Linked DNA regions of Rattus norvegicus. The protein of the gene in region 2 binds, or shares a complex with, the protein of the main gene of each other region. Links are inferred from orthologs where the notes say so. Each region holds a gene or a part of one and is shown on either strand. Other genes may lie near its edges. The genes, in order: Chek1 and Clspn.

Evidence for each region.
Region 1: the proteins of Clspn (region 2) and Chek1 are in contact, whole or in part, in a crystal structure (PDB 7AKO), measured with the Homo sapiens proteins. The link is inferred for Rattus norvegicus from reciprocal best matches to the Homo sapiens genes CLSPN and CHEK1. Residues at the interface, in NP_071394.2 of Homo sapiens: Glu938, Leu940, Leu941, Leu943, Cys944, Ser945, Gly946; in NP_001107593.1 of Homo sapiens: Lys53, Lys54, Cys57, Met61, Arg129, Thr153, Val154, Phe155, Arg156, Tyr157, Asn158, Arg160, Glu161, Arg162.

What each region holds. Positions count from the first base shown.
Region 1 is NC_086026.1:44,626,841-44,631,428, forward strand, and holds the start of Chek1 (serine/threonine-protein kinase Chk1), read right to left. Parts: upstream 3,004-4,588; 5' UTR 2,979-3,003; exon of another isoform or gene 2,798-2,978; intron 2,781-2,797; exon of another isoform or gene 2,270-2,780; 5' UTR 2,253-2,269; coding exon 2,188-2,252; intron 363-2,187; coding exon 139-362; intron 1-138. UniProt on the Homo sapiens protein: Serine/threonine-protein kinase which is required for checkpoint-mediated cell cycle arrest and activation of DNA repair in response to the presence of DNA damage or unreplicated DNA.
Region 2 is NC_086023.1:144,151,473-144,155,282, reverse strand, and holds part of Clspn (claspin), read right to left. Parts: coding exon 3,678-3,810; intron 2,435-3,677; coding exon 2,259-2,434; intron 1,992-2,258; coding exon 1,927-1,991; intron 1,243-1,926; coding exon 1,046-1,242; intron 741-1,045; coding exon 586-740; intron 1-585.

The DNA.
Region 1 (4,588 bases), on a different chromosome or scaffold from region 2:
AAACCAAACAACCAGATGACAGCCTGGTTTAGTACAGACCAGTTGATGGGCCTGTGGAGAGATGGTGGGTTTAATCTCCAGAAACACACAACATATAGACTTGATCAGTAAAATAGTTATCTTAAATCTTCTCCATACCTATTCTATCAAAGAGTTCTCCTCCACTACAGTACTCCAGAAACAGGTACTGGATGTTGCCTTCCCTCCTGTGGCCATAGAATTTCACTACATTCTCATGATTTAACATCTTATTGATGCAGATCTCTTTCTTAATATTTTCTGGGCAGTCTATGGCCCGCTTCATGTCTACAATTTTCACTGCAACAGCTTCTTCAGTTATTCTATTCACAGCAAGTTGAACTCTTAAAAAGAGAGAGAGAGAGAGAGAGAGAGAGAGAGTGAGTTACAACATTTTCACCTCAGAATTCCATTTCTCCTACATCTTCAAAAGATTAGTGACGCACACCTGTAATTCCAACCTTCTAGAGAGAGACAAAGGGGTCTAAGTTCAAGCCAGCCCAGCCTGGACTACAAAGAAACTTTCAAAGCAGGGAGTGATGATGTGTACAAGTCTTGGATCCCAGCACATGAGAAGCAGAGGCAAGGGCTGGAGAGATGGCTCAGCCGTTAATGGCTAGGCTCACAACCAAAAACCTAAGAGAAACAGAGGCAAGCAGAGCGCTTGGAGTGAGTTTGAGGCCAATGAGACTCTCTACAAACAAAACTGGGGAGGGGGGGAGGGGGGTGCATTGAGGGGTCACCTAGAACGATGGCTCAGCATTTCAGTGCACTTGCTTCAGACCTCAGTACAGTTTCCAGCACCCACGTGGTAGCTCATATAACCCATCTGTAATTCCCAGTTCTGGGGGAATCCCACACCTTCTGGCCCTCTGTCAGCCCTGAACACATGTAGTACACTAACATGCAGGCAAGCAAACACACATATTAAGAAAACACATAAATCTTAGGACGAAAAAAAAACTTCAAGAAATTAAATGTAACACATCCCGAACTATTCTTCCTTTCTTCATCAAGGAAAATGAAATGGCCTCTGCCATGGTCTCCCGAGCAATGAGACCAGAGATGAGTGCTTCAGTGAAGGCTCCAAGTCTTGGAAACATGGAAACCTGGTGTGTGTACTGATGAGGCTTTGAAAAACAGTAACAAGGCTGGATTACATCACATGTACACATGATCTGGCCCCACGGCAGCATTCCTTTCCCTTTATGAATCTCATGCATATATGCCTGAGCACCTCTGAGGTAAGAGCCACTAATTCTATCATCAGATGAAGAAACAAAGACACATAAAGCTCGCTCAGGAACACAAAACACAACTAGGATCCGCTGAGTGTGAGGGTCTCCAGTCAGGCTGGATGCCGCCAGGGTCTTTTCATTATCTCATTTAAAATTTTAAGACACGTGGTTTGTTAGGGAAATGATTTTCTTATAAAAGAAAAATTTAAAAAAAAAAAAAAAAACTGGATCGACTAACATGGGATTGTAATACCTACCTGGGAGGCTACAGTGTGCCACAAGTATAAGGCCAAAGCTGGGCAATTTAACAAGATTTTGATCTGAACAAAATCAAACGCAAAAAGAAATTTGTTGTTCGTTTGATAGGCCTAAAAATGTAGCTCGTCGCAGAGCATAGGCCCAGCATGTGTGGTGATGTGTGGTGATGTTCAATGTCCACTATGACAAAAGAGGAGGGACAAGTGTGGAGAAGTAACTTCACTCAGAGCCTTGATTTACAAATGCAAATATCCATGCTCTTTGCCACTTGGAATAAAGGATTTTTTTAAGTGTGTATTCAGACAAGAGATAGAAAACTAAAACAAGCAAAGAGGTAATATTTTAATAGGGATTGTGGAGATGGCTAGGCAGGTTAAGCCGCTTGCTGTCAGGCCTGATGATCAGAGTTCAGTCCTCTGAACCCTCAACAGAACCAGCAAGTGTCTTCTGACCTCCACAGGTACATCCATGGCAGAACGAACACACACACACACACACACACACACACACACACACACTAAAATGAGGGCTCAAACTTACTCTGCATAGGAACCTTCTCCCAAAGTTTGCACCAGATCCCAGTCTTCAACAAAAGTCAGGCGCGCACGCGCGCGCACACGTGCACACAGACACCCACACACACTAAAAAATTTAAATGAGGGCTCAAACTTACTCTCCATAGGCGCCTTCTCCCAAAGTTTGCACCAAATCCCAGTCTTCCACAAAAGGCACTGCCATGACTCCAAGCACAGCAACTGTAAAATGCAGGATTCCAGAAAATACGGGCGATGAGTGTAAATTCTCATCACCTGTAATGCCGTTGAGCCATGTCTCCTGCCATGATTCCGCACGACTTTGTTTTCCCTTTACATCTCATCCATATTTACCCAAATCATAAAGCTAAATTTAAACATTTTGCCCTGTATATCACAAATCCTGTTTCTACGATAGACCTCCGCCTTTATGCAAAACTGAACACTTGCTTAGCTGGAAGTAACTGCTAAACAAAACAAAACAAAAGCTTTCAGATGAATGACCCGGAAAGGGAGTTGGGGGCAGGACAGGGCAGGGCAGGGCAGGGTGCCGGGGTGGGGGACAGCTGGGTGTAACTAAGGGAATTACTTCCAGAGCAGCCCCTCCTCCCACCCGCTCACTTCCAATTCCCACCCCAACCGCACGTGTCCCCAGCACCGGGAGGGCACGGGGCGGGGCCAAGCCGCGGAGAGAAGCGGAAGGCAGGGACCCCCTAAAGCCGGAAAAGCATGCGAACCCCGGAGGCTTACAAAAAGCTCTGGTCCCTGTACGCTGGAGAGCCGCAGACCACCGGTTCCAGCCCGCACTCCGGGCGGCCCTCCCACCTCTCCGCTCATCTGGGCCACTCCCTCACCATGCCAGCCCGCACTAATCAAGCCCTCTGGGTACTTTGCTGGAGTTCTTTCCCACCGTTCAGGACGCCCTTCTCACCAAGCAGTCCTTTGCCAGCTGCCACAGGAATCCAAGTGCACAGCTTTTCCCGCCAAAACCTGCTTGCGTCATGCTGTCGCAAAAGCGCACACCTTTGCCGTAAAGTGGGCCGGCGCGCGTTGTCCTATCCCGAGCTCTACCGAGGAGCAATTTCGGTAGACTGACCGAGCAAGGGCCCCTCCTTCAAGTACTGGGCGTGCTTGGTTGGAGTTCTGATGCGGCCGCGGTAAGACACAGGCTAATGAGATTTGGTATTGACGACTGCTTTGGTGAGAAGTGATCTGAGTCCCAGAGTGAAATGGCATCGGGCGTGCACTATGCTGGACGCCTTACATTGGTACAGAAAGAATCCATCCAAACGGCGCATCGGTTGGGCCCAGGGCAAGAACCCGGGTTCCTTGCCGGTCAGAGCCTGCAAAGGCTGCACGGTTAACTACGTAAACCGATCTGCTCGTGACCTAGGAGGCCCTGGTAGGAAGGGTTTATGAGGCTCAAACCAAGCGCCACAAAGTGCTCTGTAAACACACAATTGTGGCCTCAGTATTCGAACTGAGAAGCTAGCAACTGCTATTGGAATTAATTCTAAAAAAAAAAAAAAAATGAAGGGAGCAAGAGTGGTGCATGCTTGTAAACCTAGAAATTGCTTGTTAACCTAGAATTTGGAAAGCATAAGCAAGAAAACTGAGTCTGAGGCAACCGAGCTATGCAGAGTTAGTCTTCTCAAACAAAAAAACGAAGGCAAAAAAAAAAAAAAAAATCCACATCGCCTCATAGTCCAGTGAGGGTCACCAATTTTGCCTGCACAGGCTCCAAACCGGCTAAATCTAACGTTATTTTTAGGAAGACTATTTGCCTGTACTAGCTTTCTTAAACGACTATGGTGGCCCATCACTCTAAGAAATGAGGCAGGAGATACTCAACCAAGATGCTCTCTTTCAGACACAAACAGCAAAGTAGACTTAATGGTGACTCATTTATAACCTCGGCCTAGGGAGGCTGAGGCATGGGAACTGCTTCAAGAAGCTGATCAGTCTGAACCAATGTGGGGGTAGAATATGAATGTATATATATTATACATGTTATCATATATATATATACACACACATATATATATACACACGTATATGATCCTTTCTAAACAAAAGTGATGAGTTAGGAAACACAATATTAGTTACTAGGCTAGACTTATGGTAGATGCTTGCCAGGCATGCAAAAGGCCCATAATAAAGTGTAAAATGTCAATTCTAAGGGAAAGGGCTTACATACACAAAATAAGGAAAAACTGAAATCATGTGGGGCTAGACAAGTGCACTGTCACTGAGCTGCACCTCACACTCCATGCAATCTGTCAAGTGAAACAACCTGGAAATGTTTATAAACTTAAACCATGACTTCAGTTTAGGACTCATGTGATGAAAACAAGCTGTTAGATTATTGCCAGTTCTTTGTAATTTCCTGTCTGTGTTCTGAAATCAACAAATACAAAGACCCATGAGGTTCCTCTCCTGGAAAAAACACAGTATCAAAGTCCTGACTTAGAGAGAGGGTGAGGGTGTAGGGGGTGTGTGTGTGTCCGTCCGTCCGTCCATCTGTGTCCCTGTACCAACTAG
Region 2 (3,810 bases):
CTGTGACACGCAGTAGCCACTGGAACTCAAAGCAAACCTCCTCCGCCTTTAGGGTCTTTCTCAGTGTCGTCTCAGAGCCACAAGGTCAGTAACTAACACTGGGCCTCAACTCAGGCAACACGATCTAAAGTTTAGCCTCATGCTAACCTAGACAGGGAGGATGGGCAAGGTTTGTTAAAGGTGAGGCATAAAGGCTCACTTCTAGGGTATAAAGGTGGCTTCTAATGATACATCAGTGATGGGTGCTATATTCCAGGACACCTTCATTGCTGATACGGGGACCGGGTGCTATATTCCAATCTTACCCAACAACCAGAACACAAGGAGAACGAACAGAGAAAGCCTTTACAATACAAGGTCTGTGTATTTGAAATAAGATCAGAGAATAGGAATGTCAGCAAGGAGTATTTACATTTTATTTTCTGGAGACTTTGTTCAAACTCGTGGAATATAAGACTAATGGTCAGGACACCTCTTTCTCAGAAGAGAAAGCGCAGATGGAGTGGCAGAAGCTCATTTTATTTTTAAACAAAATTAAGCAGCACCCAGCCTTATTCCCACCCACAGAAACACAAAACTACCTACCCATCTGCATCCAACAGTTGGCTCTGAGTGTCATCTTCCAAACAGAACTGGAAGTCTCCTGCTCCTAGGAAAAGTGTCTTCGGCTCTGGGGAGGCGGTGTACAGATCCTGGGAATCCTCTATGGGAAGTGAAGGCTCAGACAGTTTCCCTGAACTCTGGCACCAAAAACAAAAACAAAAGCAAAACATTTCACAAATGCCATCCAGTGTCATGACAACAACAGAAGTTGCTACTTGCAATATGTCATCTGCTCTCAGGCAATCGCAGTTGAGGCGGACAATGCAGTCAACAGAGCCTAAGGAAAACTACCTGTAGGCACGACCGCCTGCTAATTAATACACGAAGCGGGTGCATTTTTAAAGCTGAGCAGCACGCGGTGGGGCTCGGCTGGCTGGGACACACTCTATTCAGCAGTGTGGGCAGTGAGCAGAGGAGGTGAGAACAGTTCTCCCCGCTTTACCTTAGAAGCCGAGCTGATCAGACTGCCCCGGAACAGTCCAGGGGATGGCGACCTGAATCCTGCTGTAGGGAGAAAACTCGTCCCACGGCCTGTGTGTCTGTTGCAGGGCTGATAGGATGGAATTGTGGAGCCAATGAGCTCAAAGCTGCTGTTGTGGCTGCTCTCTTTTGTTAGCAGTGAACTTGAGTCGTCTTCATCTAAGAGGATGAGAGAATACACTCGGAATACAGAAATACAGAGGTGCATTTGTGTAGGAAGAGTTGGGAAGCGAACAGGTAAATTCACTGGCAAACCACTTAAGTTCTGGGCTCCAAGTCATTCTGTGAAAGGTCAATTAATTCACAACAGCAGCAGTGTATACTTAGGGCTCGTTACTCTGAGCTAAGTGACACATGGGAGTTCTCTTCTGTCTAAGTGCATACCTTTCTTTGATCTTTGCATAGAAATATTTCATGTTTCACTCAATCAACAAAACGTATGTCCATGGTCAACTATAAAAATTTAGCCCAAGGGCTGGAGAACTGGCTCAGCAGTTAAGGGCCCTTGCTGCTCTCGCAGAGGACCCACATGATACCTCACAACCTTGTGTAAGTCCAGGTCCGTGGGACCCGGAGCCCTTTCCAACCTCGTGAGCAGCAGGCACAGCCATTCACGCAGGTGCAACACGCATGCTCATAGAGTAAAAAGAAGTCAATGTTAAAAAAGAAATAAAAGCAGCTCAAAAATGGGTCACAAAAAATATTTCAAGTCATAAATAATGTCACTGCTACATGTAAGAATATGCTGCCACTAGAATAAAAAAGGAAGGAAGAAACATTTGTGAGACTATGGTCTTACATATCAGAACTAAAGAAATGTTCTACGTGAGGGTCACTACTTACCCAGTTTGTCAGACTGCTTGCCCATGTGTTCATCTGTTTCTGATTTTTCTTCAGTAGGAAAGTAACTACAAAATAAAACAGTAAACTGCTTGAGTATCTGTTCTTACTTCCTACTCCCTTGTAAGAAATTCAAGAATGGGCTGGAGAAATGGCCTCATAGTTAAGAGTACACTGCTCTCCCAGAGTCCCAAGACTGGTTCCCAGCTGCAGGGGATCCAGCGCCCTCTTCTGGCCTCCTCAGGCATCTGCACTCGTGTGCACATACCTGCACCTTTAAGAAGGACATGTCTTCAGAAATCCCAGAGAATTTTGTTTTCCTCAGAAGAACTTACCCCATCTTGGAAGAGGTGTCCTTAAACAGAAGTAAGGTGGAGTCCGAGGACAGGGGCTTGGGGACAGAGAGGGCAACAGGTTTGCCGACGTCACTACTGGCGTCTGTGTTTTCTTTATCTGTTTCTTTTTCAGCTTTGGTTTCTGTATCTTCACTGCCAAGAAGATATTCTGAAGTCTATGCCAATCATGTAAAAAAAATAATACAAGTCAAAAAATGTTAAAAGTAAATCCACCCTTAGCTGAAATGTGGATTCCTGGTTATAGGTTACATCTCAAGCATGGAGAGGTGAACTTGAAACAAACTAAGTCCACGCACAATCAGGAAGCCATCCCCTGACTGTTTCTCACGCAGCATCTCACTATGTGGGCCTGGGTCCCTGACCAGTCTGAACTCCCTCTGTAGATCAGGCCAGCCTTGAGTTCACAGAGACCCACCTGCCTCTGCTTCCTGGATGCTGGGATTAACTGTGTGTGCCACCACACCTGACTAGCTTTAGGGCTTTTCACATTCCATGAAGGAGGATTAGATGGGCATGCTACTAAGGCAGTAAGAGAGTAGTCAGTCTAGAGGAAGGATGACTGCTCATCACAGCAAGCACAGACTATAATGTGCTGCCCAGCTCAGACACCCCCTTCCCTTTCTTTACACGGGGTAAACCGAAAAGAAAGCTCATTTCATACTGAACAGCCATATAATGAATACCCACCTTCCCTGGGCTGCAAAACTACTGTGGGACAGGGACAGGGGGTTCTTCCATAAATGCCCTCCTTTACTAAGAATGGGATTGATTTAAAAAGACCTCTTGCCTGAGAACTATTCCAGACCTCAGCCTAAATAAGAACAATTGCTTTTCAATCTCAATCAATGACAAACAGAAAAGTCCTTATTAGTAAAGTTATTTTCAATATAACACTATATTAAAACACACAAACTATCAGGTAGAAACAGGACACACACAGCTGTGAACTGCAGGCACTCAATAATGCCAACCGAACTGTATGTGCGGAGCTTAGAGTACATACACAGATAGCTATTTTCATCCATCCACGAGGCACACACGGCACACACGGCACACACACACACACACACACACACACACACACAGGCAAAACATGCATATACAAAACATGCATATACATGTATACATGTATGCATACACACATATACACATATGGGAGCTGGAGCGATGATGCAGCACTGAAAAGCACTTTCTGCTCTTCCAGAGAACTCTGTTTCAGTCCCCAGCACCCAGCTAACAACTAACTACCCACGACTGAAGTTCCAGAGGACCCAGTACCCTCTCTGGCCTCCGCAGGCACTGAAGTAAACCACTCGTACACACAAATAATAAGTAAATCTTAACTCTTTTCTCTTATTCATCATAGCCAAGAGAGAAAAGTATATAACTGTCCCAAACCTCCTGCATGTCTCCAACCTCCTCCTCCTCCTCCTCCTCCTCCTCCTCCTCTTCTTCCTCTTCTCCATCTTCCTCAGACTCATCTGTCATTTCTTCCTCTTCCTCCTCCTCTTCAAATCCATCTTCATTATCT